Danio rerio: one gene and its partners. The protein of the gene in region 2 purifies or fractionates together with the protein of the main gene of each other region. This does not show direct contact. Links are inferred from orthologs where the notes say so. Each region holds a gene or a part of one and is shown on either strand. Other genes may lie near its edges.

What was found.
Region 1: the proteins of arrdc1b (region 2) and nedd4l purify together in Homo sapiens (affinity purification with mass spectrometry; 3 studies listed by BioGRID and IntAct, counting the BioPlex papers as one, with this or other methods). This does not show direct contact. The link is inferred for Danio rerio from reciprocal best matches to the Homo sapiens genes ARRDC1 and NEDD4L.
Region 3: the proteins of arrdc1b (region 2) and zmym2 purify together in Homo sapiens (affinity purification with mass spectrometry; 3 studies listed by BioGRID and IntAct, counting the BioPlex papers as one, with this or other methods). This does not show direct contact. The link is inferred for Danio rerio from reciprocal best matches to the Homo sapiens genes ARRDC1 and ZMYM2.
Region 4: the proteins of arrdc1b (region 2) and yap1 purify together in Homo sapiens (affinity purification with mass spectrometry; 3 studies listed by BioGRID and IntAct, counting the BioPlex papers as one, with this or other methods). This does not show direct contact. The link is inferred for Danio rerio from reciprocal best matches to the Homo sapiens genes ARRDC1 and YAP1.
Region 5: the proteins of arrdc1b (region 2) and hecw2a purify together in Homo sapiens (affinity purification with mass spectrometry; 3 studies listed by BioGRID and IntAct, counting the BioPlex papers as one, with this or other methods). This does not show direct contact. The link is inferred for Danio rerio from reciprocal best matches to the Homo sapiens genes ARRDC1 and HECW2.

The regions. Positions count from the first base shown.
Region 1 is NC_133196.1:12,331,172-12,337,901, reverse strand, and holds the start of nedd4l (E3 ubiquitin-protein ligase NEDD4-like), read left to right. Parts: upstream 1-2,477; 5' UTR 2,478-2,797; coding exon 2,798-3,874; intron 3,875-6,730. UniProt on the Homo sapiens protein: E3 ubiquitin-protein ligase that mediates the polyubiquitination of lysine and cysteine residues on target proteins and is thereby implicated in the regulation of various signaling pathways including autophagy, innate immunity or DNA repair.
Region 2 is NC_133196.1:16,163,325-16,170,266, forward strand, and holds the start of arrdc1b (arrestin domain-containing protein 1b), read right to left. Parts: upstream 4,081-6,942; 5' UTR 4,002-4,080; coding exon 3,884-4,001; intron 1-3,883. UniProt on the Homo sapiens protein: Functions as an adapter recruiting ubiquitin-protein ligases to their specific substrates. Through an ubiquitination-dependent mechanism plays for instance a role in the incorporation of SLC11A2 into extracellular vesicles.
Region 3 is NC_133184.1:23,043,673-23,049,818, forward strand, and holds the end of zmym2 (zinc finger MYM-type protein 2), read right to left. Parts: intron 5,976-6,146; coding exon 5,733-5,975; intron 5,602-5,732; coding exon 5,466-5,601; intron 3,129-5,465; coding exon 2,942-3,128; 3' UTR 1,909-2,941; downstream 1-1,908. UniProt on the Homo sapiens protein: Involved in the negative regulation of transcription.
Region 4 is NC_133193.1:40,205,307-40,211,229, reverse strand, and holds the end of yap1 (transcriptional coactivator YAP1), read left to right. Parts: intron 1-1,214; coding exon 1,215-1,453; 3' UTR 1,454-3,662; downstream 3,663-5,923. UniProt on the Homo sapiens protein: Transcriptional regulator with dual roles as a coactivator and corepressor. Critical downstream regulatory target in the Hippo signaling pathway, crucial for organ size control and tumor suppression by restricting proliferation and promoting apoptosis.
Region 5 is NC_133184.1:25,789,718-25,795,950, forward strand, and holds part of hecw2a (E3 ubiquitin-protein ligase HECW2), read left to right. Parts: intron 1-1,575; coding exon 1,576-1,897; intron 1,898-1,977; coding exon 1,978-2,076; intron 2,077-3,723; coding exon 3,724-3,874; intron 3,875-5,487; coding exon 5,488-5,591; intron 5,592-5,677; coding exon 5,678-5,802; intron 5,803-6,233. UniProt on the Homo sapiens protein: E3 ubiquitin-protein ligase that mediates ubiquitination of TP73. Acts to stabilize TP73 and enhance activation of transcription by TP73. Involved in the regulation of mitotic metaphase/anaphase transition.

The DNA of each region.
Region 1 (6,730 bases), about 3.8 Mb from region 2:
ATGAATTCACAGCATGGTGGTTCCCAAATTCCAGTGCTGATGAGTTCATATTTATTAGGTTCTGAACAAGAAGGAGATGTCACGGTGGCGCAGTGGGTAGCACAATCGCCTCACAGCAGGAAGGTCGCTGGTTTGAGCCCCGGCTGGGTTAGTTGGCATTTCTGTTTGGAGTGTGCATGTTCTTTCAGTGTTCGTGTTGGGTTTTCTCCAGGTGCTCCAGTTTCCCCAAGACGTGGCATAGGTGTATTGAATAAGCTAAATTGGCCGTAGTGTATGAGTGTCCAAGAGTGTTTCCCAGTGATGGGTTGCGGCTAGAAGGGCATCCGGTGAGTAAAACATATGCTGGATAAGTTTGTGGTTCATTCCGCTGTGGTGACCCCTGATTTTTAAAAGGGCTAAGCCGAAAAGAAAATGAATAAATGAATGAAGAAAATGGATTAAAAAAATGAACCAGGAAAAGATTTGACTTTTTATCATATCATATAACGTTAAAATCTTAAATTGTTTATTTGTTTTGGGGTTTTTATTGTATATTTATCAATGTAATGTTTTTTTGCAATGGAAATGGATATTGTTGCCAACATGGCATTAAATAAAACAAATATAATTTGCACAATTCTTCAAAGCAGTTTTTGTAGATTGCATTTATCTGAAAATTGCCGCCATGGAGAAACTCAACCACTCCAGAGACGTGTGGGTGAGCGAATGTGCTTTTTGAAAACCCAGCCAGGTCAAATCACCAGTTTGCCTTTATTCAATCCAATGTTTATACTATTTAGGTTATTAATGGTTTGGTTTTTAAGAAATGCATGCAAAATAAATGCTTTGGAAAGTCGTTGTTTTTGTAGGTTGCGCTGTGGAAGCCCTCTGTCGTAATTCCCAGAATGCTTGGCACTGTGAAACTAATGCTTACGGCATGATGTCTCCGTTCTTTGTCCGCAGCTCACCCACTGCAGGGCTTGTGTGCCCTCCAAAACAATGCCCCCTTTAGAAAGCGCCCACACTCTCACAATCAAGGCCTTTCTTTCAGTCGCAGTCTGTCTCGCTCACTCCATCCAATAAGATGCTGCACTGACTTCATGGTTTAGGGTAGGCTGGTGTTGCTGAAAAGACACAGTTCTAATGGTGTTGATGTGTACAAGAAGACTTATTTTATCATCTAATAGCTGAAAATCATATAAAAAGTCAGAATATCCACCTAAAATGTTCATTAAATTGTTTAACACTCATTGTCTAATTTAAATTGCATGGATGTTGTTGTTGGCTTTTATACATGCAGTATTTCATACTCCTTTGAATTAAGTTGCCTTTGCCCTCTATTTCTCCTTTGACAAATCAGGGTGTATGAAGTGTCTCATCGAATTTGAATACAGACAGTGTTGTATGCTCTCTCTGGATTTTAACATTGGCTTTAGCAAGTTGCTCAGGCTGTCAGCAGTCTGTGTCAAATGTGGTATTCTCATACCTGTGAGCAAAGGGTTTTAGATACTGATAAAAAGATTCTGATTTGGCAGATTGTGTTTGTGATAAAAAAAAATAAACACATGGGTTTTATTCAGCCCACACAGACTTTGTGAACAATGTATTATTTGCAGTAATAGCTGTATGTTATTAGTCTGATTTCCTGTCACTTTAAGGATTTCCCCCAATGAATAATTCGAGGTGGTTTTTAACCTGCACAAAGTTAAATTGCTTTGTTGACTTAGTTTAGGAGTGGTCTTGATTGTAGATTTTTTTTTCTTCAACTGCTCTCAAGACTTTGCCCCGGGCTGCATCCTGAATCATTGTTATTGTGTTGAAAGAGAGTGACTGTCTTGTGGTCTAAAACTTCCCTTAAGTGTTTTTCTTTAATGCAGACGGAACATTTCAGCCATGCCAACCCTTAAGAAGCTTGAGAAATATTGCATGTCTGTACAGAGGCCCCAACATAAAAAGCTGCAATGTTTTTCCAGCTTTTCCTGGATATTTCCTGCTAGAGAATGTCTGTAACGATAGTGGTAGACCTCTAATACCTCTTCTGTTTACCCATATATGTCTGATTGATGAAGTTCTTCGTGCTTTGATTTGTGTTTTATATGTATATAAGTATATAGGAATAAGTAAGACTAAATTCTTACTTTACCAGTTTGAGATGTGCACAGCACCTTGTCCCAACTTGGCTTGGCCCAGTGTGCCCTGTGTGTGGGATGAGCACGAAGAATTATGAGCTTGTGGAGAGTGTTTTCTGAGTCAGCTGTGATCCCTCTCTTTCTCATCCCACCCCAGGCGGTCTAGGTCCTTCTGACAGATCAGTAGCAGCTGAGAGAGTGCTGTTTGGGTCTATCCGAGAAGTGGGGGTGGGTGCCTACTGGATCACATGACTTCGGCCACCCTACCCTCACCTTTGCTTTCAAGAGCACCAGGCGTCCTTATCCAATCATGCCTGGAATGTAGCTTGCCACTTGGGCTATTTCTGCTGTTTGTCGCTATCAGACTGCAGCTTGAACAGTTTGACACATGGGGTAGTTTCTTTTTTTTTTTTTGATTTTCCTATCCCTGGTTCTTTCTAGCTTTTTCTTGCGCTCTCTCTCCTCTCTCTCTAAAGCTTGTGGGTTGAACTTTTAAGCTCCCTGGCAGAGCTTCACTGGTAGCTGTGAAACGAAACGCAGCCTCTGTCTGTGAGTAAGGGAAAGAGAGAGAAAGAGGGTGGATGAGCAAGACAGAGAGAGCAAGAGCAAAAGGGGAACAGACACACTAAACAGTGGGTGAGACAGATCCAGCAAAGGCTGGACAGAGACAGATCAGGGCGGACAGGAGAATGTCTCACCGGCTTCGGTTGTATTTTGGATCTGGTCGCAGTAACACTGCTCCAGAGTTGGAAGAGCTGAATGGGACAGTGGAGGAGGAAGGTGACATAAGCTACAACAGTACAGGAGCCATGGTGGTCCATGCACAACCACGTAACGGAGGACATGCAGAAAGTCCAGAACCAGGCACAGTTGTTGGTTCGGATGCCTCTCTAAAGCGAAGCTCTTCCATGTTCATCCCACAGCTCCAGGGTCAAGCTGAGTCACGGACAACCAAGAGCACCTCTGTTCAAATATCTCTTCAACGCACAACTGCCCCTCATGAAGATGCATTACCCTTTGATCCACCTCCAGCGTACCCCCAGGATCCAGCTCCACCATACACTGAACCTGGTGAAAGTTTGCCCTTACCTCCACCTCCAACCTACTACAAATCCTGCCAAAATGTGGAACAAACTCAAAAAGATACTGAACCTAAGAGGCAAGTCTTTTGTGTCCGGCCATGTGATGGTCAAAATGGTTATACCCATGGAAATCCTCAAGGGATCACTATTGGAGGTGTCTGTATTAGAAGAAGATCTGCAGATGGCTCGGATGTCCAGCAGTTCAGGATTATGCCATATAGCGAGGATGGGCACAATGGGCACAATTGGTCTGTCCAGCAATGCTCAGACAGAGGTCCTGGTGCACAAAGACTAATTTTTCAGCTCCAAAAGGACCAAGGACGGCAACCAAGCTCTACCTCTCAGCCTGACGTGAGTGATTTAGGCATCACAGGTTCTAAAGGTTCCCGCTTGGTGCGGTACCCCAGGATTCGACTTGAGCGGAGCACGTCACAGCCATTGCAGCCTAGAGGAGCTCCTTCACGCCTTGGATCAATGCCAAACCTTCATGCTCCTATCTCAGAAATGGAAACGGAGAGTGATTTTATTGAGAATGGTGCTCAAGGTTGCACTTTCAAAATTAGGAAGGAACAGAATTCCCAACAACCGAAGTTTAAGATTTATTTCAGCCAGGGCGGCGAGCACAGTCCCATCCTCGAAAGGAATATTAGCATTGGAAAGGCGCCTACCTGCAGCAATCCACAGGTACTGCTGAGTGTCTAAAGTTAAGTAATATTTAATCTGACCGTGAAGTGCATAGTTTTATTAACAAGCAGTTATTTAGTTGCTCAAACTATGCTGTAGGGTGTAGAAAGCTTTAAGTGTGTTTTAATAATTTGTAAGTGGCTGGAGAATAGGAAAAGCATATGAAAAAAATAGGTAGCTGGATTTTCAGTAGAAAGAGGAGGTGGGTTCAGAAATGACTTATTCACAACCCACATTCTGGGAAGTGAAAATTCCATGAAAATAGGGGCCAGGAGCAAGACGTAACCGCACTGTCTATGGTTTCCTAACAAGCATACAAACCCTTAAACTCAAGAAGTGGAAATGTATGGGGACTGGAAGCATTTTCAGACTGAACTTCATTCATAGTGGCCACTTGTCTTTTTCCCCCTCTCTTGAAGAGGAGCCTGTTCTATCTTTAGTCCCGTGTCAAGTGTTGTTGTTGGTTTTGAAAGCAGCCTTTCTCCTTTGGACTGGGTTACCGTTCATCTCTTGTGACAGCTGTTCTGTGGTGATTAAGGTCTAATATATGGTTACACATGCTGCTGTTCTTGGTATCTCAAAGCTTTTAATTTCCCAACCCTTAAGTGGTTCCAAACTTTTATGAATTTCTTTCATCAGAACTTTCTGATTTCTATTTCTTTCTAAACTATTCCTTTAAGCACTTATTTTTTCCTCATATATTTGCCACTTTTTGTCACTCCCTAGAAGTTGAGTTTTTTTACAGGCTTTGAAACTCCTTTCAGTGACTCAGAGTAGTGCTGAAAATCTGTAAGTGTGTGGGATTTGTCAATTTGTCACCAGTTGTTACTAGTACTAGAACTAGTATCTATCCTTTACAGAAGTTTAGGTTTGCGTTCGAAAGTTCTGGAATCTCTAAGACGTCCACATTTTAGAATATTCCAATGTCGAAATCAGCACTGTCACACGCATACCTTCAGCTTCTGTGGCAGCATATGTATTTCCAGTACCTGCTGAAAAGGCTTTACTGGAAATGAGTCAGTCAAGAAGCTAAATGTTCCAGCAGCAGAGTTCATCAACTGAAGTGAACCGCTCTCGCGCAGATCTGTTTACTTCATGCTGTCATGACTGCTCTTATGAACGCCTCAAGCAAGTCTTTGTTGATGCTGGATTATCTCTGAGGATAAGTCTTGTAATACATCATAACCTGTGGAGTTCTTGTTTACAAACAATACAGAATACAATACACTTCTGTTAATATTTGATTTTAACAAGATGATTAGCAGAAAACAATAGCTTTCACATAACCATATCACATTTCGGAGATCGTCCATTGCATCCATCCCCTTGTGGGAAGCATGGATTTCCAGTAGACTTGCCAGTGCTCTCAGATTAAAGGGGCACATTTTTTTTTTTGGAAATAGGCTCATTTTACAAGTCTCTTTGACATAAACAGTTGAGCTTTACCATGTTTGAGTTATTCGGCAATCTCCAGGTCTGGCAGGAGCGCTTTTAGCTTTGCTTAAAGATGTTGTTTCTAGGTTGATATAGCTGGGAAATACACTACCTGAAAATTGTTCTCAATCCCAGTTGTAAGAGTAAAGAATAATAACTTGTCTTCTAGTTGATCATTTGGAAAATTGGTAACAGTTATATTTTTTCAACACATAAACTGCAGAACACTTATTGGAACCTGGAAGGGCCCAAGATTCTTATAGAAATCCATCAAGTTTGGTGTAGGAAAAATCATGGTTTGGGGTTACATTCAGTATGGGGGCGTGCAAGAGCTGCAGAGTGGATGGCAACATTAAATGGCTGTGGTATCAAGACATTTGTGGCAAATTCTTTAGCAGGATAGCACTCCGTCTCATGCTTCAGCCTCCACATCGAAGTTCCTGAAAGCAAAGAAGGTCAAGGGGCTCCAGGATTGGCCAGCCAAGTCATCAGACATGAACATTGAGCATGTGTAGGGTAACATGGAGATGAATCCATAGAATCTTGGTAAACTCTGGGAGTCCTGCAGGAACACTTTCCTAGCCATTCCAGATGACTTTATTAGTAAGTTATTTGAGCCATTGCAAAGATGCATGGATGCAGTTGTCCCAGCTCATGGGAGCCATACACTATATTAATTCTTTTTCCACTGCACCATAACTTTATATTCTATACTGTACATTATTTCTGTTCAGTGAAAAGACTTTTGTCTAAGCAAAGTCAGACCTTACTGTCCTAATTAAATAATTAAACATCAAAGCATGATTTAATTTTGGTAAAATAAGCATAATCTAGCGGACTTTGCCTTTCATATAAGCCACTTATAAAATTAATGATCAACTCGAAGTAAAGTTATTATTTGTTGTTCCTAAAACTTATAATTCAATTGCAATGTAATAATCAAGGAACTTTGGTGCAGTATATCATAGCTGCTTGCAAAATTTGCCTTTATCCCCTAGCACACATGTAACTAAAGAAGAGAAACTCTACGAATTTTTAGGCACAATGCAAACAATCTTTTAGATTCAAAGATATATGCTAAGCTAAGCTTAAAGTGCTCCTGCCAGAACTGGAGATCAGCTGAATAGAATTAAAAATTGAACTGTTCCAAACAGTCTCACGGGTTTTAGTAAGCATGATGAGGGGATGTGGGGGCAAATCTTGCTCAAGTCTGCTGTGGCAGCTTTCTTCCAGAACTCAGGATTTAGTGGTTTAAAAAAAAACCTGTGCTAACAAGTAAGAAAAGAACAGTGAGAGAGTTTGAAATTGAGGATACATGAAAGAGTCAAGCTATGTCAGCATTTCCAATTGCTGTGGTACCTTGTTATTGTTGTCGGACTGGAGCACTGCACCTAAATATAAGGGGGCTCCAGACTTATTTTA
Region 2 (6,942 bases):
AGAGGCTCACGCTAAATGCACACACATGGCTCGCGACTTTCATAACACACTGCTTGTGCGCTTGCAAAGTGAACCAAATGGGTAATATTTCCTGAGTGGACAGCGACAATGCCCATTGCAACAAACGTAACAAGTTGTTTTCTTGTATAAGCGGAAACGCAAGCAATCTGGCTAAGTGGAAGTATCTTTCAAAACTGCAGAAAGACAAATGAATAGTTTTTGACTGCTAGCTACTAACAAGAACATTACATCATCCACATCGTTATGCCAGCAGTCAATCACCTAAATTGGTATAATATTAGCACTTTTAATAAACACACATTCGGTTACATTGAAAACAGTATTTTTTCTGCAGTAGCCTAAATAAATCTAAACATTAAAAATGCTTTTACATCAGCCGCATTTACAAATATAGCAAAAGAATAGCCTAATAATAAACTATGCTTAAGAAATTATAAAAAACAGCTTATTTTTTACATTGCAGGATGCTCCAAAACTGTATTTAAAACACAGTTAACTCCCAAAAAACGTTAACTAAATTAATTAGTTCATTCTGTTTATTTTTTTAAATAATTTTTTTACCAAAAGTACCGATAAGAGAACCGTTAAAGTAGAACGTGGTATCAATAAAAAAAGTAATACTGTTAAAACCCTAATGATACAAATCCATAAAACAATATAACATTTAAGTTGTTACCCCCCCCCCAAAAGAACTAAAGAATTGTGTTGGTTTAACTCACAGTTATTCAAAAAGTCGTATCTTAGCTAAACATCATCCTATCCTAACAAGCCATACATCGATGAAAATCACATTTATTCAGCTTTCATGTTTTCATGTCATGAACAAGTTTTAGTTTATGAGTTTCATTTTAAATCTCAAAAAACTGACACGACTGCTCTTAGGGTCTAAAGTAACATATGGAAGCAGCATATTTGGATGCAAAGAAAACGCCCTTCAAACCAACTAGCACTTTTCCTATGCACAATGGCTCCTGGAGGGAATGCCACAAATCCAAAGTAGATGCAGGTTTTCCACATTTGACTCAAGGTGAAGGCGCTCCGAGCCAATTCCTAAAGTACCAACATGGGAACGGCAGGAAGTCCTAATGAATTAAAGTGCCAACAGACAATGACTAATCACACCAGTCACATGACCTCATCATCTGGTGATGTCATCTTTCACGCATGCAACTGATAAACACTAGAGAGAACATAAACAATGCACCAATCCACATTGATGGACAATAAAAGGTGCTTTCTCATTGTTGACAGGAACAACTGAGAGAAACAGAAACATGACCACAGGAGATCGCCTATCGGTTTTTCATACAGTGTGTGTCACAAATAAGGGTGGGGTTCCTGAGTTGAGTGAAAATGCACAACAATTTCATGCAACACATTAGTCTCAAGTGTGAACACAAACAATAAGTGGAACGGCAAAAAGGAAAATGAGCTTACGGAGTTGTTTCATTGGAACATCTCTTATGTCTGTCTATTAAGTCTCGCCTACACTAAACCCAACAGTTCGATGAAAACTCTTACAATGCGTTCTTTGTGCATATTCACACTGTGTAAAAAGCACCTTGTCTAACCTACTTTCTTATCTCTTTCCCCAATGACAAGCGGTATGCAAAAATTTGGTTAGCGGAGGGTGCGGAGGGTTTGGGGCTGCCAGAAGTTAAGATGTCTTCACAATTATGGCTTTTCTTTTAGATGTTTTGACAACTGACATGGTAATCAGTCTAGAGTAAAGTGTCTGTGTATGCATGTCTGTAACTGTAGTTATACACTTGCATTGATATTTATCTGCAACATGATGATAAACTCATATAATACAACAATATGAGGGACTTAGACAGCACATCATTAAAATCCATCAGTTTAAAAAGCTGTAATATTGATTTGACACGTAACAGCACAAATACACACTCATGAGAAAGGTTATGCCTTTTTTAGGGATTCACATTTTGCTAGTTTTTACTAATGGAGGCTGTGCAGTGTGGCATTTAAAAAATACTAATATTTCTATTTATAAAAAACTAAATGTCATTTTATAAATTCTTAAAAATATTTTTTGTAAATATTACAAATATTATTCAAAAGGAAATGTTCAGATTTTGTTTAAAGATGACCAGGGAATTCATTTGTACTAAGTAATTGTACATCAATGTATGCTGACAAAGACAATTATTATGGCGACATGAGAACTTTTGCGATATTCCAATTCCATATCGCAATTCGTAACCTTTTAATTTAGTATGATTTGCTCATCCCCCAACGACGGTTTGGTTATGGGGTGGGGTGCATTAAAACTGGGGTGCATTGCGGCTGGAAGAGTATCCGGTGTGTTAAAACTTGCTGGATAAGTTGGCGGTTCATTACGCTGTAGCGATCCTGGATTAATAAAGGGATTAAGCCGACAAGAAAATGAATGAATGAATAAATTCATCAATAAGAACAAATTTTGTTATTTCAAAAGGCTGTTTTTTTTTACTAACATGCACTAACATTTCTTAACCAAACTAAACAATATTTTATTTGTTTAGAACATGTCAAACCAAAACAATCTCACAGCAATTTGTAACTTTTTGATTTAGTGGCTAATTCGCATAAATTGTCATTCAAACAATTTAGTAAGATTTGCTTATCCCCAATGAAGATTGGTTTTAGGGGTGGGGTCTGGTGCCACGCTTGTTAAAATCGTACATTTTCCTATGAATGAACTTGAATTAGACACTAAACTGACAAAACCTAAAATAGCTACATTTCTTTGTGAGATCAGGCTGGATATTCTGTTCAAGCGACATGTTTTCTTAATGAAAAAATTGTTTACGTTTACTTTCTTTGTGAATTGATTTTGTGAGATTTTATTGCAAATCACATCCATGCTGAAATTGCTCAGAATAAGTGTTGATCTGACCATTTTTGTTTTCCAGAACATTCTCTGTTGGTTAGTCAAAGTGTTTTTCTAACATAAAATGTTCCCTTTAAATAAGAAGTTCTCTTTCTATTTTACAGTCTCTGTTACATAAAAACCTAAAAAGAACCTTCTCAGTTGTAGCTTTCCAGATAAATAACCAAATAACTTAACAAGAAACTGCGGACTTCAGAAATTTGTTTAAAAACTCCACCCTCTAATCGTGAAATTAGACATTTATGACAAACATTTATGACAAGTTCTTACATTTTAGCCTTACATTACACATTTATTTTCTTGAACGGGTTTTGTTCACTAAGACATAATTCATTTAACGTTTTGGAAGTACATTTTTGTGCTTATTAGCGGTCTATTACATAGTCTTTCCCTAAATTTTTGTCTAATGTTTTAGTACAATTGCGTTTAGCAAATGACCTCATGAGCGTCGCGTTTCTAAGCGCAAGCGTCGCGTCCTGGATACTTTTGCCTGTTAGTTCTGAATGTGCACTATTTTGAGGACGTTTAAAGAAGAAAACGAAGTGAAGACAGGCATCAAACCACACTTGTTGAAACGCGAACCACATACAGCGTGTTTCATGAACCAGAAACGACTCGGGTGTGATTGTGCAATCGGACCGAAACCAACAGCAGCACATGAGAAACAGGATGTACGCTCAGGTTAATAAGAAACAAGAATGAAGACGTCGATGCCCTCCGATAACACTGCTTAATCCCTCAAAATACACATTTATGAACAAGCACTGAAACAGAAGCGACGGATGCCGAATGTCAACATGCAAACATTCAACACGTTCATTCAGCGACACGACAATGTTGACAAGCATTGATTCAATACCGTTCATACGTGAACTGGGGAAACCCTGGAGCTTACCAACTGTGTAGTTAATGGAAATCATGTTCCTACTGTAAAAGACTGAAGATGTACGACTACAGAGCATCGCTTACCTTTAAACTGCAAGGAGTGGCTTGATTTAATTCTCACAGTTCCTGATATGGATTCACCGGGGTTGTAGACCACTTTGTTGTTAGTGAAAGTAATCTCGAATTCCTGAACCTTCCCCATGTCTTCCAGAAGCGCCTCTCACGCACTCGCGGAGGATGAGAAAAAAAAATCGACGGCTAAACTACGGGTGAAAGCAGCGTCCAGTTTGACGTCCCACCTGCGGCTCTCAAGACTCCGCCCATTTGCGAGCGCTGACGTCATCGGGATGTCAGTCATTCTGCTCTTTACGGTTGTTTCAAGTAATCGTGACATAATGTTTTCTTTCTTTCTTTTTCTTTCTTTCTTTCTTTCTTTCTTTCTTTCTTTCTTTCTTTCTTTCTTTCTTTCTCATTATTATAAAATAGATTAATGTTTTGTAGTTCAATAAAAGTTCATTACTAGGAGTTACTATTTATGTTTTAAATATTCTGAAACCATGTGTCTGCACATTTCTGCAAAATTTTATTTAAGGCCTAATTGTTACAGGCCTAACAAATTAATATATGAACATATCAAATGTGGAAAAATACTTACATTTATATCGTAGTGTAATCTTACAATCTGTATTTGTTCATTTGTTTATAATAGATATTTAATTTCTACTACTGATAAACATTAAGATTTTGTTTTATGCTTTAAATATCTTATTGTAAAAATATCTCCTATGTCAGTGTTAATCAGTGTTTAAAAACTGTTTATATATATATATATATATATATATATATATATATATATATATATATATATATATATATATATATATGTGTGTGTGTGTGTGTGTGTGTGTGTGTGTATGTGTATGTGTATGTGTGTGTGTGTGTGTGTGTGTGTTTATAAACAGTGCTTAGCAAACATGAATACACCCCCCACAAATCTTTAATTTAAATAAACATTTTCTATAGGATGCTTTATAATATTATATTTCTGCATATACATTAGTTTAGTCAGTACTGAAATGCCAAATCTGGAGCTAATCTAAAAAAAAAGTAACTTACAATAATAATTGAAAATTTGTAGCCCAAATGTATGTTAGAGAAGAAAAAAAATATATTTTTTTGTTAAAATGTTGTAGATTATAATTATTACTTTTGTTTGCAATATTTTGCATAAATTTAAATGTATTATCTTTCCATTTCTAAAGATGTTCTCTGACTATAATATTATTTTAATAAATGTATCTGTTTATAAATCTGTTTTGTTTAAATGCAGCTATATATTACCCATATTCACTGAGAAATTGACAAAAATATTCATTTTCAAAATGGAATGCACTCATATATGCTGAGCACTGTATATATATAATATAATACATATATAATCCATTATTTAAACTTTTTACCTTTTCCTCAAACATTTCACAATTTCACAGACCTGTTTTTTTTTTCTTTTCTTTTCTTTTTGCTCCACACTGTATTTTCTTCATAGCCAAGCAGGAAAATCATTAGGAATCTACAGCTCCATCTGTCTGGCGACACAAGCATTGATAAAACTGAACAGAAATCTCTTCTGCCATTGTTCTGAGAATAATAAATTCATCTCATGATGGGAACTGCACACCTCTTATCTGCTGAAACTGTGATGATTTCCTCTTGTTCTGAAAGGTCTGCTTGTGGTTCACATTCAGTTAAGCCTTAATGGAAAAACATTTCAGTTTTATTAAAGTCATTTATGCATGGGCTTTAAAAAAATATGTCAAATTGGTATTTTTAAACTAAACTTCTGTGTTAAAATGTTTTAAACAAGAGAAACAAAAAAAGTTTTTTAAAAAGTTTTTTTTTATTATTATTATTATTATTTTTTAAATATATATAAAGATGTAGTTATCTTACTGGAAAGTATTTTACAGATAAACTGAACTTTGCTTTATAAACCAAATCCAGTAATTACAAATACTTGCCTATGACGCCCCCTTATGGACAGCTAAATGAATAGCAATCAAACAAATGGGCGTTCGTAAACAACTTTAAAATAGTTTTATTGTAATCAAGAGTTATAGAGCCTGTAACCACTCCCATAGGTTTTCAGCTTTCTTCAAAATATTTTATCTTGGGTTCAACAGAAAAAAAATCATAAAGATTTATAACCCCTTGAGGGTAAAAAGAATTAATAGTGAGTATATTTTCATTTTTGGTGATCTAGCCCTTTAACACAATGTAACATTTTCCTCATCTGCACAAATCTAATTTTCACTCAAAATCTTTTGCGAGAGTCGAGGAGAGCACCTAGCCAAAATAATAAAGTTAATTCTGCTACTGCCTACACTGTAAAACCCAAAAAGTTAAGGTGACTCAATTCATTCGAGGAAACCGATTGCTACAAACCATTAAGTACAAAAAAAACCGAATCAATATAAGTACTGTGAACTTACTTCATATAGGTTTATTTAATTAGATATTTGATTAACTTATTACCTTTTACACTGAGTTCAAAACTCTTTTGAAATGAGTAGAATTAACTTTCAGTCAATTTGGAGTTCACTACGCTCGATTCCTTTGATAAAGCCGACTGTTGGGTTTAACAGAATAGCACTATAATTAATAATGTTGCTAATCATTTAAAGTATGCAAGCTTAAATTTGCATTAATTCCAATAAAATTCAACATTTGATTATTTCTCTGCCTTCTCTTCTATCATGCATGTGCGAACTATTGCACAGGTCACAGCATATGGGTCACAGTTGGCAGCAGGACGGCGGTCCTCAAAGTAGCCACATTTATTCAAAGCGACCCGACAAGGGATGCGGATGCTGACCCTACGATTTGCAACACCTGCTGAGAATTCATGGATGCCGGCGGTCACATGACGACCCGTGAGGCGACGCTTGTTATCTTCTCCACCATGTGGGTCAAAGACCCGAATATGCTCTTCATGCCGCCTACTCAGTTTCTCAATGGCTTCCTCAATGTCCCTGATGTGGAGAAGAAAGATGACAGAGGTCAATGTACAATGACGTTATTCAGCACTTTCGTTTATTGTTTATTAATATTTTGCTTAACTTTATAACTCATTTATGTAACTAATT
Region 3 (6,146 bases), on a different chromosome or scaffold from region 2:
CAAGGCAGGATGGTTCTATGCTTTCATGTTGTTGATGCCAAATTCTGATCCGACCATCTGAATGTTGCAGCAGAAATCGAGACTCATCAGACCAGGCCACATTTTGCCAATCTTCTATTGTCCAATTTTGGTGAGCCTGTGCAAATTGTAGCCTGTTTACTGTTCTTTGCTTCTGCTGCTGCAGCCTATTTGCCTCAAGGTTGGACGTGTTGTGCGTTCAGAGTTGCTCTACTGCATACCTCGGTTGTAACGAGTGGTTATTAGAGTTACTGTTGCCTTTCTATCAGCTCGACTAGTCTGGCCATTCTCTGACCTCTGGCACCAACAAGGCATTTGTTCCCACAGAACTGTTGCTCACTGGATATTTTCTCTTTGTCAGACCATTCTCTAAAAACCCTAGAGATGGTTGTGTGTGAAAATCCTAGTTGACCAGCATTTTCTGAAATACTTAAACCAGCCCATGTGGCACCATGCCACGATCACTCACTGAAATCCCCTTTCTTCCCCATTCTGATGCACTGTTTGAACTGCAGCAGATCATCCAGACCATGTCTACATGCCTAAACGCACTGAGTTGCTGCCATGTGATTGGCTGATGAGCAGACAGACAGGTGTACCTAATAAAGTGGCCAGTGAGTGTACATTACTAGTCAAAAATTTTGGATGCACTTGACCATTTGTTTTTCATTAAAGTAACTTTCTGCAAAGCTAAACTGCAAAATGTCTGTTTTTAATCTGGTTTCGGTGTTAATCATTGTTGGGACTAACAAAAAACTGAATAAATAGATATAAATTTTACATTAAACATTAAGTTAAAATAGTTTCCTGAAAACAGAAGTGCACACTAGTTATAACAAAGTGGACAGATATTATTGGAATCACTTTCAAATCTTTTCATTTCTTTTTCAACCAAAGAAAAATGTGACAGCCAATCAGAATCTAGAATCTTAAAAGCTTGAACGTTTCAAGTAGCAGAAGACAAAACTACAGTGTGCTTTAAATGAGCAGGACAATTAGTGCCGATCCACTTTTTCCCTTAACAGTTTTTTTCATTCATTGGTCTATTTTTTCCTCAAGTCTTGTTAAATCATAACGTTACATTACAATCTTTGATTTGAAGCAAAAAGTATATAAAAATGCAAGACAAAAGGCAAAACTACAATCCCATGATGCACTACAAATAACATTAAAATGAAAAACAATGAAGGAATATAAAAGTATCCATTTAAAGTTGTTGGCTGTATCTGTGGAACCAATATATTTCACTTTATTGTAAACTATGCATACATATAAAAAACGTAAGCATGTTGAGTGTAGAGAAAGTGGCTTGATTACATTATTCACACACAGCGCTTCTGCAACCATCTTACTCAAGGAAATTTATGCACAGCATCATGGGTAATGTAGTTTTGTTGACAATGCAAACAGATGGGTAAACAAAAGCTTTCACAATATCTGAGCTCACAGCAGGCCTGTCTTTAAACGTTTATCAGTTAAAGTTCTGGTACTACTTTATTTTCTTTCCAATAACCAATTAATTCCCCATTATGATAAAAAGTGATAAAGAATAAGCATGTCCACATTGGAATGTTTTTATCCCTCTCCTTTACCTCTTAGTAGCGAGTGATCACTCATGTTCAACGTAAAATCAGTGCAGAAGGATTTAAGTGCCCAAAGTTTAATATTTTCAACACCTCGTTTGCCTAATAATGAGCTTTGTTTAACAAGCACAAAACATCTTTACTCCGTTACAGAAAGCTACTCACTTATCCTTCCAATCCAAGAGATGGAAGACAAGAGCTGTAAACAAAACGACAAACTGAAAATTCACATTTCATGGTTTCCCTCAAACAGAAAATAAAATCTTTAATGGGGGTCTTTACTCGCGAGCCATTATGAGACAACAAATAAGATTGTAATTTATTGGTAGAAAAGGGTCAAGGAAAATAACCATAAAAACCATGACAAGAAAAACCCGGCTGACTTTCACTTTATAAATAAATCACTTTCACTCTTGCATAAGCTAAGTGTTTTAAACGTAACATTTAATGATCGTTGTGCTCACGCACATCCTTCAAATGACTCTCAGCTCCAGGAAGGCTACAGAGCAAATCCTATGACAATGTTTAAACATTGACAATGCATCTCCGCTTATCTGCAATCAGCATAACGCTGCAAATGAAGTTCAGAGTCAAATTTCATATACTTGATTGTTCAGAGGAATAGTTTCACACTTAAAGGTTCAATGCCAATAATGTATTGACTGCGCAGGACCACCTCCTGTCCAATTCACTCCAAAACAACAAGAAAGGAGAGGGAAAAAAGATGCACTCACATTTACAGACACACCGCTCGCACAAATAAGAGGTCCGGGGCTGCAGCAGGTTTTAATGCTCTTATGGAAGGCCAGAGAAATTGCACACATGGCAGTGTCCAACACACACCCTGCCCTGTCATCTCAAAATCTCAGACTCTCGTCTTTAACACGTCGATCAGCAGTAATAAATAAAATTTTATCTTTAGAAGGCTTTGTTGGGCAGGAAGAAACGAATACATCCTCATCACCTCCATTACAGCCTAAAGTTCCTGTGTGTTTCGTCTGCTAACAGACTAGACTCTGACAAGAAGAAATGCTACATCAACAAAAGTTTCCAACAAATAGGGAAGAGAGGGGGGGAAAATAAAGAAGAAAGCAGCATACTGTAAGTCACGTTCATGGTGGGGGAAAAAAAATCTACTCGTCTGAATCAAGGTCTTTGGGAAGACTGACCAGAATCAGCATAATCCCATCGATGTCCATCCTGACTGGACTCATGTCATAACTGTACTGGGATCAGTGTGTTTAAAGGGAGCGTGACAGGGTGTGGTGTGGAAAGCAGCTGGTTTGGTGATGCACAGGGTGTCATGATAGCATAGTTAGAAGTCTTCAGTGCATCGGCCTCTAGGCTGCGTCCTCTTCAGGCTGGTTGTCTTTATAGACCTCTCTGACCAGCAGCGCTCGAGTCAGGAGCCTGCTCAGCACACTCTTCTCCAGAGGCGTCGAGCTGAACCACAGCGGACTATCCGACGACGCAGACACCTCTGGCTTCATGTAAAAAAAATCTGTCCTCTGTCTCACAGACTCTGGGCTGAGGAGAGAGTAAGAGAGAAGCGTCAGACAAATAGTTCAGAAAAACTATTAAAGTTCAGCAAATCTGGCTAAAACCAAAAAGACTATGAAGATATGTCCAAAATGTCCATCTTTGATGTCGAATCTTTTCACCAGCAGCAGTTCTAATCATATTAATAATAATCAAACACTCAGTGATTTTCAAAGGCAACCCCTTGCTAAAAAATGCTGATTTGTTTACAAAATGGTAGCTTCATACGCAGCACTGTGCTCACTGTCATCACCTGTGACTATAGTCAAGATGTTCCCCTGTTATGATGAAATGTCCTACACGCTATGAAATGACACGAGCATCATATATTTTTTAGATTTGGCTGAGATAACACCTGTGTTAGACTGTAAATCTAAGACAGGGGGGTTCTCAATCTCGGTCCTGGTGGGCCGGTGTCCAGCAAAGTTTAGTTACAGACAAACTTGGGCAAGCTAATCAAGCTCTTACAAGGCTTTCTAGAAACATCCTTGTTGTGTTGAGGTGTGTTGAGGCAAGTTGGAGCTAAAATCTGCAGTACACCAGCCCTCCAGGACCAATTTTTAGAACCCCTGCTCTACCAGATTTTAAAACGTTTTAATGAAAACAATAAGGTGTTTAGTGGCTTCTGAACTTCTACGTTAAAAAATAAAAAAATACAAGCTCACTTTTCAAACTTTGTACAAAAAACAAATAATAAAAAAATGTTCATAGTTTTTACAAGGTCCTATGACCCCACCCCTGGTGTGAAAGTTACATGTGGTCAAGGGTATTTCTAATATAATTTAATTTCTGTCATTCAAACTATTACACAAATACCAACAACAGTTTGACAATCTCCATTCTAACAAGCCCACACAATTATTACTGCATGATTTATCCATTCAATTCCACAATAGGCATAAAATATGCATAGGCAGACAACAGGAATAAATAATAATAATAATAGAAAAGCGCACCATCTAGTATAAAAAATATATATTTTAAAGTCTTTCCAACAGAATGAAGACCTGGTAACAAATTTTGCATAATATTAGTTAAATGGCCTTGGGGTTAAAGCTTAACATTTAGTTTTGTACAAAGATTTTCTCTAATAATAATAAACAATAATTTCTTGCATTTATATAACGCTTTTCTGGACACTCAAATTGCTTTACACACTTTTTGGGGGAATCTCCTCATCCACCACCAGTGTGCAGCATCCACCTGGATGACTTGACGACAAGACTTGCGCCAGACTGCACACCAGCTGATTCGTGGAGAGACAGAGTGATGAAGCGAATTATGATATGGGGATGTTTAGGACGCCAGTGGGTTAAACCCCTACTCTTTTTGGAAGGACATCCTGGGATTTTCAATGACCACAATTTTACATCTCATCTGAAAGACAGCACTCACTGAGCAGTGTAGAGTCCCCATCAATTTACTGGGGAATTTGGACCCACACTGCCTCCTACTGGTCTCACTAACACCTCTTCTGGCAGCAACCTAGCTTTCCCATGTGGTCTCCCATCCAGGTACTGCTGACCAGGCTCAGCCCTGCTTAGCTTCAGTGGGCGACCATTTTGAGTTGCAGAGAGCTAGTTGCCGGCTAAAATACATAAATTTTATAAATACATGCACCATTACACCCCTGTAAGACTACTACAGATCAAATTTTAATTTTCCAGTTCACTTAAGACACTCTACCCATTTATCATATTACCTCACTAAGAAAAGAACTGAACAGGCACCACTGCTTGACTACCTCTGCACCAAAGGTCTGCTGTGTCCTCATATTACAAGTGTCAACACCATGTTTCAGGATGTGAACAGCAATTGTTATAATCACTGGACACCACTCAGTTTAAAATAATTTGAACTAGCTGCATTCAAATCAGCAAGAAACTATCACAGTTAAAATAAAAGCTCTTTTTTAATATAAAATAGAAGCACCTCTTCATCTTAATATGTTGTGTAATTGCTCTCATTATGATTCCCACATTAACTTTATTACAGCGGAGTATAATTAAATACACATCATTTATCAGTTAACGTGGGAATGACAGATACATACTAATGTGCTTTCGTGTCACATCTCAGAATGAAGTATAAATGAAGTAGAGGAATGTACACAGGTGCACTCTGGCAATAAGGGGCAGTTGTACTTGTAGAACCACATTTTGGTGCACTTTAAAATGTTTCCCTTAAAAATGAGAACCGAACGTAAAGGGTTACTAAAAGAAAAATACAAATTTACAGAAAATTAAATTAAATACTATTTACAGTTCTGAAAAAGCCCTTAGTTCTTCAAATGCATCACAAATAAGGAAGATTTACGTCACTCACCACTTCGAAAGGTAAAGCTCATACAGTCGGCACTCATGCTTCTTAACAGGACAGTGTGCGGATCCCCCTGAACCGCTGTCTGAATCAAAATTTGAGTCACAGTAATCTTTACGTCTTCTCTTACTTCCTGATTGCTCTGTGAAAAACACGTACAAGACATTTCAGCAAACAGCAACACTGGTAAAACACATTGAACATTTAAATATCTAACAAGTTTGGGACATTTAAAATGCACAAGTAAAGCGAAACTACAATTGAAAAACACACCATGCTGCTCCTGTGAGATGGAGGGGATGCGTATACAGACGGTGGTCTCATGGCTGTGCGGTTTCGAGCTGCTTGGGCCATAGACGTTTGCAAATGAGAGGCGTAAGTGCTGTTCTGGGGTGCGAAGACCAAAGTATTTGGTGTTGAGATAGAATACAGATCTCAGCAGGACAGAAGGCGCCTGTTCTCCAAGCTGTCCGCTGCTCCACAGATATTGCTCTTCAACACGACTCCACCGAGAACCTCAAAGGAAAAATACTCACACTTAAACACTGGAGCAACACTGTTTTTAATAGGTCAAGCACACCATGTTAAGGTATTTCAAACCCTTAATTACATTTAACAATTGAATCAATTTGAAGTATCCATACTACATATGCAGGTCACTAATTAGTTTGAAATGTCCTCATAGTT
Region 4 (5,923 bases), on a different chromosome or scaffold from region 2:
CAGCCGCTAAAACGAAGTGTGTAATGATGGACACTTCACACGCTCAAAGACTGCAGGTTTGCTCAAGTAGCGGAAGGGGCGGAGCTATCGGGCGCACATGTTGAATAACTTTATATATTATGGATTGTGAAAGCAAAATTCTCCTACGAGAGTGATTATAGCGCCTCCCGATGGTGAATGCGGTTATACTCACGGCAGGTATTATTTGATAATTCGGTCGTTTATTTCACTGATTTGGCAACCGTCAAACGTCATCAGGGAAACGGTTTGAATTTCTGCTTAGTAAAAAAACATTAGTGCTCCATTTGAGACGACACTACATACATATACTATCCTGGTGAGTGTGTAAGTGCATAAGTACATAGTGCATGAGTGTATAGTGTGCCATTTGGGACGCAGCTATTATTATATGTGACTCATTCCAGAGTTGTGGGGACATTTCAAGCATTTTCCTTAAACAGGAATGATATATTTGCAGTGAAGTGAATCTGATAATAATGTAAAATAATGCATAATTCTTGAATGTAATAGGCAACATTTGCTTGTTAATTGCAGTTAAACGTTTTAAACCATAAAAGCCATTCTGTGCTTTAGCTCAAGATGCTAACCTTAAAAAAATAGATATTACAGGGCATGCCAAAAACAGGATTTCATGCATTTCCATCATATTATTGTTTTTAAAAATCTGAAATTCGCTGAAATTTCACAATAACAGAATTTACATATATTAAATATACAATTGGTGTATCCTAAACCAGATTTTTTTTTTCTATCAGTGCTTTACAGATCATTGTCATGACTTTTTGTTACAGACAAAATATGTCATTTTTTTAAAACAGTCATAAAATACATAATAATAATGCATGAAACAGATGTTAATGCAATGAAAAAATTACTTTGACTGATTTTTGTGATAATAATTGAAGCTGTTTGTTTGATTCAGGCGGTGGTGACTCAAAATAGGAGAGGCTTTGAGTTATAATAATAAAAACAGCAATAATCTAATAAGAATCCTTATTACTGTCAAGAGCAAGAATCAAGTGTATTCAATCATTTTAATCGTGTTTAATTGAGTTTTGTATAAATATACAATAATACTTATTGCGGCATTGCACTTTGGACAATCACAGTCTTGGCTCACAGGCATTTCCCAAACTCTGTATAGTGCAGCCCTAAAGGAAACGTTCATTTCTGACCCCTCTCTCCTTTCTCAGGTGACACCCTCGGCCCCGGCTCAATGGCAACACAGCCCAGCCGATTCCCCGATTACCTAGACGCCATCCCGGGCACGGACGTGGACCTAGGCACCCTTGAGGGCGAGAGCATGGCGGTGGAGGGCGAGGAGCTGATGCCCAGCCTGCAGGAAGCCCTAAGCTCCGACATCCTCAACGACATGGAGTCAGTGCTGGCAGCTACCAAGATCGACAAGGAGAACTTTCTAACCTGGCTATAGAGAGCCCGAACCCAGCACTACACCTTCTCTTTCATACCGAACTGCTGCCCAATCCAATCTGTGAAGGATCTGTAGATGCTTTGAGTCGACAAAAGACATTTCACCTTTTTGTTTTTGGTTCTCTCTCGTTTTATTCACAACATTTGGCCCAATTGGTTTTAAAAGCCGAACCTTTGGTCCTTTTTTTTATTCTTCTTTTCATGTCTGCATCCTCAAGGCTGGCCCATGAACAGACAAGTATTCACAAGTAGCAGAATCTCTCTCACGGCTGTACTGCACGTCGGCCCATCAGCGTGCGAGTATGTCCATTTTGTGTTTTGTTTTTTGCCTCGCAAAACTCCGACAGAGCCAAGTGGGTTCAAGTGTTTCACAAGCGGGAACGACAAAGACAGACGAATCCTGAATAAATGAAAGTCCCTGATCTCAACTCAAGCTACAATTGACTGTTTTACTTGATGCAGCGATGAGCCTGAGATACCAAACGAACAAAAGCGATGAGGAGGTCATATGTATGTGGGTTCAAATCTTTTTTTAACGCGTGGCTTTGGTTAAACAAATACTGCTGCTTGGCTGTGCCAGCATATCACACTAGATACTGTGTAATCAAGTGCCTTCAGATGAAAAAACAAAAGAAAAAAAAACAGTTTTTACACTCGAGATCATCGATCAAATTCGACGTTTTCTTTTACTTACTCTTCTTCATTAATCAAAGTATATTTCTTTCAAAGGTTTTATAAAAGAATATTATGTTGGGAATTAGGGTTTGATTTTTGTTTTGTTTCTTCTTTGAAGAACCCTAGCCTCCTTGTGTGTTAGTTTTTATTTAAGCCTCATTTTGTTTCTTGAGGGTTTTGGCATTCATTTGTGATCAAAGAACAAGTTTTTGCTCTCATAACCGCTTTCTTTTCTTCTAAGAGCTGCCTTACACTATATGAATAAGAACACTGACTAGAAAAACTAGCATTTCTGCTACGTTGTAACAGTTTGTTACCTATTTTTTATTCTTATTGTACGATTTTAGTATCTTAGTTGATGCTTGCTTGTTTAAGCAAAAATATCGTTCAACTAAAAAGCAAGGAACAAAACTATCAAGGGCACTTTGATCAAAAGACAGACGTCTCTGATATGAGCTCCAGCAGAGTCTGTGCCAGTTACGTTGATGGCGTTTGGCGCCGAGACCGATATCGGGCAGGAAGTGAAAGATTCTGATACGTTTAAAAATGGGTAGACCGAGTATGTTTTGAGGGTTAGTGCTGTAGATTAGCTTGGATCTGATTTGGTATCGATAGAGTAGACTTTCATCAAGTTATCATTTCTGTCAGGATTTCTTCCAAAGATTTCTTCGTGATGAATCTTTTCTCGAAATGGACGACGGGATCATTTATCCTTCTTTGATGTACACGTAAGACATAAGCTAATGAGAAAAGGTCTAACTGATTTGAGGAGGGTTTAATGAAGCAAGATTTGACAGGTCTTCTTTTGCTGGTTCTATGATGTCAGAAGTTTACATTAGTAGAACACTACAGTCTTTCCCGTTCAGAAATACAATATGAATTTTTTTAGTCTTGTTTACAATATGGTTAGCTTTACACTACGTGATTATAGCTTCAGAACTGGCCCGTACACTATATAAATATATATTTTAAAAGGTGAAGTTTTATTGCCTCAGTAGGCAACAATTGTATTGTCAAATATTATGATCGATACCTACAAGCTAGGCCGGAGTAATGGAAAAAAAAAGACAAGCTAAGAGAAGTTTCTATTTTTGCAAACATAGTATTGATGGCAGACTCTAGTGGGCTAAAACAGTGTTGGAGAGAAAGAGAGCAATGCAACAAAAGGTTTTCTGAATTGTGAGGGTATTGCACGTTTCTAGAACATTGACTAAACTGTGTATGTCACTTAAACTTGATTATTTGCTTGCTTAGTTTGCAACCGTTCAGATTATATAGTAACTGTTTACTTTTTGTTTTCTTTCTCTTCGTTTTGTTTTGTTGTAGTGGTAGTACTAATCACACAAGTTAATGGATTGGTATTTAGATTCCTTTAAACGCACCCAGAATGAATTTATATCCATTTATTATGATCTCGTTGTTGCTTTTTTTTAATCAATGTATGTGCATGTACTTTAGAACCTTAAGTTCTGTTACATTATATCTCTTGACATATTACTTTAAAATTGGCCTGGAATAAAGTATATACTTTGGTATTTACTGTCTGATGGTTGTTCATAAACGAGCAGTATTATAGAGTTATTGTAATTTGTGTGTGAGGAACGTCTGTATAAGGTTTGTTATGCAAAAAAATACTTAATTGGACCATTACAACAACTAAAGAACTAATCAATAGATAATCAAAATAGTAATTGTCCCCATATTTCTTTAACCCTTATGTGCTGTTGTTTTCATCGACTCTGAGGTGATATCAAGTCTTAATTTGTCCACAACTTTCTGTTTCAGCAAATGGAACAATTTTTGGTGACTAATCTTATTAAGAGGAAAAAATACTTTGATATTTACAAGAAAAACTAACAATACATTTATTCATTCATTTTCTTTTCAGCTTAGTCCCTTTATTAATCTGAGATCACCACAGTGGAATGAACCGCCAACTTATCCAGCACTTGTGTAACCCTTCCAGCTGCAACCCATCACTGGGAAACACCCATTCACTCTCATTCACACGCATACACTACAGACAATGTAGCTTACCCTATTCACCTATACTACGTCTTTGGATTGTGGGGGAAACTGGAGCACCCAAAGGAAACCCATAGGGATAACATGCAAACTCCACACAGAAATGCCAAATGACCCAGCCGAGGCTTGAACCAGCGGCCTTCTTGCTGTGAGGCAACAGTGCTACCCACTGCACCACCATGTCACCTTCAACAATGCACTCTGGGCAAATTTACTAGCCTTTTGTTATGTTTGTAGCTCTTTTTGCTCCATTGACTTCCATTATAATGACAGTTTTGATTGCAAATCTCTGACACCCTATAATCATGCTTTCTTTAATGTTGCTGGTTTTTCTTGTTAGGAAGAGGTAAATTTACAATTTTTACTCTTGATTATCAGTTGCAGAGCAAAAATAAAGGTTAGTTTCTTGACAAAAATTATATGGTTATATGAATTATAGTTCGTGTGACAGAGTGAGACCATTGGGCACTTCTATATTTTTTGGGGGGAATAAAGCAGCTCAACTCTCAGAAATTAGTAAACATAGTGTATTTAAGCACAGACACATCTGCTGTTTTACTCCATATAAAAAGCAAACGTTTTTGCACAGGCCTATCTTAAGAGTTAATGCTGCCAACTTATCATCAACAGAAATAATGAAAAGTTTGACCTCTTCCCGAAATAGAAAACACCAACAGTCAAGATTGCATGATTATTTGGTGTCATGGCTTTGCAATCAAAAAATGTCATAGGAACATGGAAGTCAAAAACAGCAAAAAGAGCCACGAATAGATAGTCAATTTAAACAGTACACAAAGGTTAAAAGACTTTTAAGTGTGCATGTTTTACATATTGAGTCAATCGTTAAAATATGGGGCTCTATCATACAACCGGCGCAAGGCACGACGCAGGTGTCATTTTAACGTTTTGCACCACGTTGTTTTAATAGCAAATGCATTTGCACTCATAAGTGCGCCCATAGGTGTTCTGTTCTAAAAAAGGAGGCATGTTAAGGCGCATTGCTGACGCGTTGTTATTTTGAGAAACTAAAATAGTCTATTCAATAGCCTCGCTTAGAGGAGGTCTAAAATCCAGCACAGAGCGTGTTAGTTGTGCGCCTCGCTTACACATTGCCTAATACACGCATTATGTAGAGAAATGCGCAAATATCTTTACAAATGAAAATGAATTAAAGGATTAAAACATTACAAAAATTATTTCTTTCTAGCCTACATAAATATAAGAAAAACAGCCTTCATGCCATCATCGTTATCATTACTAGCAGTATTATTTATTATATCCATATTTATATTTGTTTTATTAAAAACAAGCTTAGATTAAAACCTGTCAGGTTTTAGACCATATGGGGCACAGTATATGTATTTTGGAAATAACTCAGTTTTTTGACCACACTTCGTTATTATTGTTCATTTATTCATTTGCTGGAAATTAGAACTGAATTTAGAAATAGTTTTGAAACAAATGTTTGCGCTTAATAAACAAAATTAATTATGTATAGGCTAATGGATTTCTGTGCATACATCACGTTTCCCTATCCACGAGAGTGAAAGTAAATAATGAGGAGGCTCATCTCTCATTCTCACGCTGATGCTCTGTTTAACTGTTTACTCTCTTGTGAAGCGTTCATGGACCATGGAAAATCCAAAGCGGATTTTTCCATCCTTAAATAGCAAAAGTGGATTCTGACACACCCTTAATGCTTCTGCACCCTGTGCTTTGGACTTTGCACCTGGATCATCAAAATAGAGCCCATGGACTATAAATCTGGACT
Region 5 (6,233 bases), on a different chromosome or scaffold from region 2:
TATCATACATCCACATAGTTAATAAGCTATACTAATAGAGAAGACTCCAGATCTGTTTTTACATTACTGTGGCTGTTGGGTTTAGGGTTGGGGTCGGGGTTATTAAAATACTATTAATGGGAAATTTAATACATAATATAAATAATTCTCATTAACTTCCGGCCACAGCCGGATGTGATCTATAGTTGATTATTCTTGTGGATGGATGATAACAGCCTTCTGAGCCTACCAGTGGGTGCAGAAGGCCCCTACTGGCCCATACACTGCAAAATGCTTTTTTTACTTAGATTGTGTGTATTGTTTCAAGTCCATATATCTAAAAATTCTTAAATCAAGAAGAGTTTTTCAGTCAAGCAAAACACAATGTCTTGTTTTAAGAAATAATATGCCAAAATGAAGTGTTTTTCCTTCAAACAAGCTAAATAATCTGCCTATGGGGTAAGCAAAATAATCTTATGTCAAAAGGAAAAACAAGATTATTTTGCTTACCCCATTGGCAGATTATTTTGCTTGTTTTAATGAAAAAATCACTTAATATTGGCATATTATTTCTTAAAACAAGACTATGTTTTATTTACCTAGAAATGCTTCTTGATATAAGAATTTTTAGATATTTCGAATAGAAACAAGACAAAAAATCAAAGTAAGAAAAGCATTTTTGCAATGTATCTATCAGCTGATAATGCCCATTCAATCGAGTGACAACATTTGAATCAGCTGGCAAATGTCAACATCTTTTACAGATGTGGTTGAGTATTATTGATTTAGTACAAATCATAGTGTTGTAGTAACTAAAACACTTAACATGTAATTGAATAATTACATACAATTATTACATAACAAATTTAGAAATGTTGGCAGCTAACTGAAATAATCTAACTTTATTTTTTTTTATAAAACTGGTTTCACCACACACATGTTCTCTTTGCATTGATGTTAAGTCAAAATGTATAATAATTTGGACTAATGTCTAGTGTGTTACAATTTATTTAAAAAATAACATATTTTCTTGATAATATTAATTAACAATTTACATTAAATAACATAAAGATTAAATAACATAAGGATTAAATAATGAGTTGCTCAGCATACTTTCTCATAAAAAGTCAAAAATATCTGATATAATGATTTGACAGCACCACATGGTTTTCATCTTTTTAATTTACTCAATATATCAAACATCAGAAATGAAAAGTTATGTAAGTAGAAACAAAAATGACAGTCGGATGGATTGACAGACAGACAGGCAGGCAGGCAGGCAGACAGATAGACTGATAGACAGATAGATAGATAGATAGATAGATAGATAGATAGATAGATAGATAGATAGATAGATAGATAGATAGATAGATAGATAGACAGACAGACAGACAGACAGACAGACAGACAGACAGACAGACAGACAATGATAGATAGATAGATAGATAGATAGAAAGAAAGAAAGAAAGAAAGAAAGAAAGAAAGAAAGAAAGAAAGAAAGAAAGAAAGAAAGAAAGAAAGAAAGAAAGAAAGAAAGAAAGAAAGAAAGAAAGAAAGAAAGAAGGTAATCTGTCTTTGTGAACTTGGTCTTCACAGGAGGCCGAGCAGGGGGCAGAGGCAGCCATTGACCCAGGGGGAGAAGATCTCTCAGACGATCCACCTACCACTTACGAGGTTGCAGAGACTGCTGAAGAAACACATCTAACTAATGAGCCGGAGAGAGAGGCTCCAAAACCAGAGCCCCCCACCAACGAGGAAGAGGAATGTGAAGATGTGACTGAGGATACCATGTCCAGAAGATGGAGCCTGGAGGCCACAGCAGGAGTGTCACAGGAGGATGAAGATGAGTTGATACCATCCGGAGATGGGGAATCTGTGGACTCTGAGACTTTTGTTACGGAGACAGAGTCAGAATTAGGTATTCACACAGCCATTTATGTGTTAATCAAGTAGATTATGAAAATACACCCTGATGTATTGTATCTAAATGTTTTGCAGGCGTTCCTCAGGTAAACGGAGATCAGCGTGTTAATTCTCTGCCATCTGTAAGACAAGACATCCACCGATACCAGCGTGTGGACGAGCCCTTACCTCCCAGTGAGTGTGTGTATGTGTTTCTGTAAGTCTGCATGCGCTTCAGTGTGGTTTAAGGTGTCCTCAGTAATATTGGCACCTCTGGAAAATATAAGCAAAAAGGCTAGTTTAACATAAAAAATAAAAAAAAACAGTATGTTTCAGTTTATTATTAGATGTGAGAGTAGCTTACCTTTTTCTTAAAACCCTTTCGAAACCTTTTGTACTTTTTGACAGTTTCATTTGTGAATTTTGGAGATTTTTTTACCAGGCTTAGTCACAACACAACATCAAATTTGACTATTACTGCTGTTGTAAACGAGTCTGCAAGAGCCTACTGGAGTCTCTCACAGGTCTGCAGTTCGCAAGTTTTATCGCAAGTCTAAAATGAGTCTATGTTATGTTTTTAGGAGGAGGGGGTGGCTAGGTGGAGATAGCTAACAAAAGCATGTAAATAAAGTATTGGAGTCAAACAGCATTTTCCCAGCCCTTATCTAATCATCATATATAGTAGCATGCAGTGATCAAATAACGTATTGGAAAGTATCACCCAAAGACTAAGGCACCGTCTTTAAGACGCCACCCATAGCATTTGCATCACCTTGGCTGAGCCCGTGCTCAGAAATACAAAGGTTTAACGTCCCTCATAGCTGGGCTGTTACAGTTTCGAATGAAATTAAAAACCAAAGAATATAACTTTTCAGTTACATGTAGATTATTGTTTATTTGAAACTAAATCATAGAAATGTATATTTCTACACTGCCCTGAAGGTGGAAACTGGCATTTCAGTGTTTTTGCTATTTTAAAAGCCACTTCTCGTGTTGTGAATCTCAACAAATCTCTGTGAGTGATTTTGTATTATTGATTTTTGTATTATTTATTATTTATATATATTTCTATTATTTATAGTTGGGCCTTGGTGAGTTTTTTTTTTGTGTTTTACCCAAAAGTAATAAAAATGTAAAGTATTATCAGAACATGCAAAAGATAAATAAATGATTAATTATGTGAGTGTGTGTGTGTGTGTGTGTGTGTGTTGAAATTTGGTGCCAATAATTGCGGCACACAAACTGTGCTGTATTTGCAATTTGTTGTTCTCCATGAGGTGACTCGGTGGCACAGTGGGTAGCGCTGTCCCCTTACAGCAAGGTTGCTGGTTCGAGCCTTGGCTTGGTCACTTGGCATTTCTGTGTGGATGTTCTCCCTGTGTTTACGTGGGTTTTATCCGGGTGCTCTCGTTTCCCCCACAAGACCAAAGACATGCACTATAGGTGAATTGGGTAAGCTGAATTGTTCATTGTGTATGTGTGTGAATGAGAGTGTATGGATGTTTCCCAGAAGGGTTGAAGCTGGAAGGGCATCTGCTGCATAAAACATATGCTGGATAAGTTGGTGATTCATTTCACTCTGGCGTCTCGAGATTATCAAAGGGACTAAGCCGAAAAGTAAATGAATATATGAAGGAATGTTCTCAATGAGAGCAAAGGTTTAAAAAAAAAACAACAACAAACCTTTCACAGTCTTCTTTGGTCATATTTACCAAGGGTGCCAAATGTGCATGTTCACTTTGCCTGTGTGTTTGCTTGTAAAGCCAATTTTGCCAAAAAAATATCAGGGCTAATCAGGCACTGTCATGCTCTCATTCTCATTTGCTCCCTCTTTTTCCTCAGACTGGGAGGCTCGTATTGACAGTCATGGTCGTATCTTCTTTGTGGATCACGTGAATCGCACCACCACATGGCAGAGACCCACTGGCCCTCCGGCTCCACAGGGTCTGACCCGCTCCAGCTCCATTCTGCAGATGGAACAACTCAACCGCAGGTTAGAACAATACTGGACTGGTTTAAAATGTTACTGAGCTGAAAATCTCATTTTACACAGTAAAGGACACACCAGCAAGCTTAATCTTCTCCTAATGTTACTCTAAGGTTACTTTCTCATTTTCCAATGATTTCAAGGGCAATGCAAAAATGAAAATTTATGAAGAAATGAATGAAAAGAATTCTGGAAAATCTGTTAAATCTTGTAATTTCAATAGAAATTCTGTCAGAAAATAATCCTGATTTATTGTTTGGAACACTATTAGGACTGAACAATAGACAATGGTGACAATGGAGCTTTCGTTTCAGTAAATATGTGTGTGTGAAAAGATCTACTGCCAGCATAGACATGTAAAACTCACAGCTTAGCAAAAAGCACTTTCCAATCAAGCCGGTAACTGTTTGCTACTACTGATTTTGTGTGAACCTAACAACTTTTCACTTTTACACCAAACTCCCAAATACAGGGAATTTTACTGGAATTTTATCTGCGAAATGTCAGAGAACAATATGGTTAGAAGGTTTTGGATCTGGTTTTCCCGGCAGTCTCAGACACCTGTGCTTTTTTCTTCAAGTGACGTCACTTCACCACCTGCACTCTCTGCCAAAAATACTTTTTTTCCAGCCCTCCTTCTGCATTTCTATGGGGATAAGATGTTTTAAAGATTTTGTATTTGATAAAAGCAAAAGTATTTTAGTATCATAATGGACAGTACTCAGGAAGACACATGTCAACATCCAACCAAACTGGCACTGCAACATTTTGAAATACCGAAAAGTGCTTAGCATAACTTTTTATGTAATATGACAATTGAACCATTTATAAACTATAAAAAGTATAAATCATATGTACAAACTAGCATGTCTGCACATGCAGATTTAACTGCATAATTTATCATGAAGCATTTACGTCCTATAACAAACCAATGTAAGGAAAATGCTAAAATTAAATGCTTAAATAAAATGTGCTATACAGGCATACATGATGTGTCCAAAGTATGAACACACAGTTTCACATTAATCATTGTCCTCACACAGAAAACTGTTTAATTGGCTTGATGCAGTTTTGCATTTTCAAACTAGCAGATGTGGCTAGATTATTAATGCACTACACTAAAATGCATGTTGATGCTTTTGTGGATATACTGTACATTACAAATCTAACAGCAAAATAAAATGTAAAAATGTAAGCATTAAAACTTGTCTCCATTAGCAATGCAAACAGACTGCTGTTTTTATGTGCCGTCTCAGGTGTCTGAGAGTGTAAGTGCAGGTCTGCACTCAGACTATATTGGAATGTGATTGCAGTTTAAGTAAACTATAGGTGGGAAAAAAGCCATCATATCCTTCAGCTTGGAAATGACAATGAATTTGGGCAGTGTAGATGCAATACTCTGTGAAAATATTCATAAAAAGATTCATTCAATTCCTTAGGCTTAATTCCTTATTTATCTCGGGTCCCCATAGGAAAACGAACCGCAGAAAATGAAAGATTTATGTTGTAACATTTTCATTATAGAAATATGGACATTTTTGTTATAAAAGAAGCTGAAATCTGGGTAAATTAATGAAGACTTTGTTACATGAACAATTGCTGTGATTTCTCTCTGGCAGGTATCAGAGTATTCGCAGGACAATGACCAGTGAAAGGTCTGAGGAACCCAGAGTTGAAGATCCTCCAGCTGATGAAACAGACGTGCTGGCTCAGTCCATCAGTGGTAAGCCATCCAACTACAGATGATGGTGTTTTGGGAAGTGAGTAGTTTTGTACAGTCTGTGTTTATTGATGTCTGCTCTTGTCTAGAATACCGGAGGGATGGCATTATTGGTCAGGCCAGCTCACGCTCTCGTCTGGCTCTTCTGCTTCAGTCTCCTGGTGCAAAGTTCCTGTCCAGTCCAGACTTCTTCTCTGTTCTGCATTCTAATCCTGTAAGCCAAAGCACTCAGAGACACAAACACCAGAGCACACCTGAAACAAGACCATGTTTAGACCCTCACATTAGGATGTGGTTTTGTCAATGAGCCTCATTACACCCGGTCACTTCATGCATTTTCTCTAATTGGATTGCTCACTGATATGCAGTGGTGTAAAGTAACTAATTACAAATACCTAAATTACTGTAATTGAGTAGTTTTTCTCAGAAATTGTAATTTACGAAGTAGTTTTAAAAATGTGTACTTTTACTTTTCCTTGAGTACATTTTAGTGCAATATCTGTACTTTTACTCTCACTACTTTCCTTCAACCTGCAGTTACTATTTATTTTTTCTTGTTTATGGGGATTAGAAAAATCAGTCCAGTAATTCATGTCCAATCATATCACACACAGAAGGTAAATTGCATCATAATGAACTACTTAA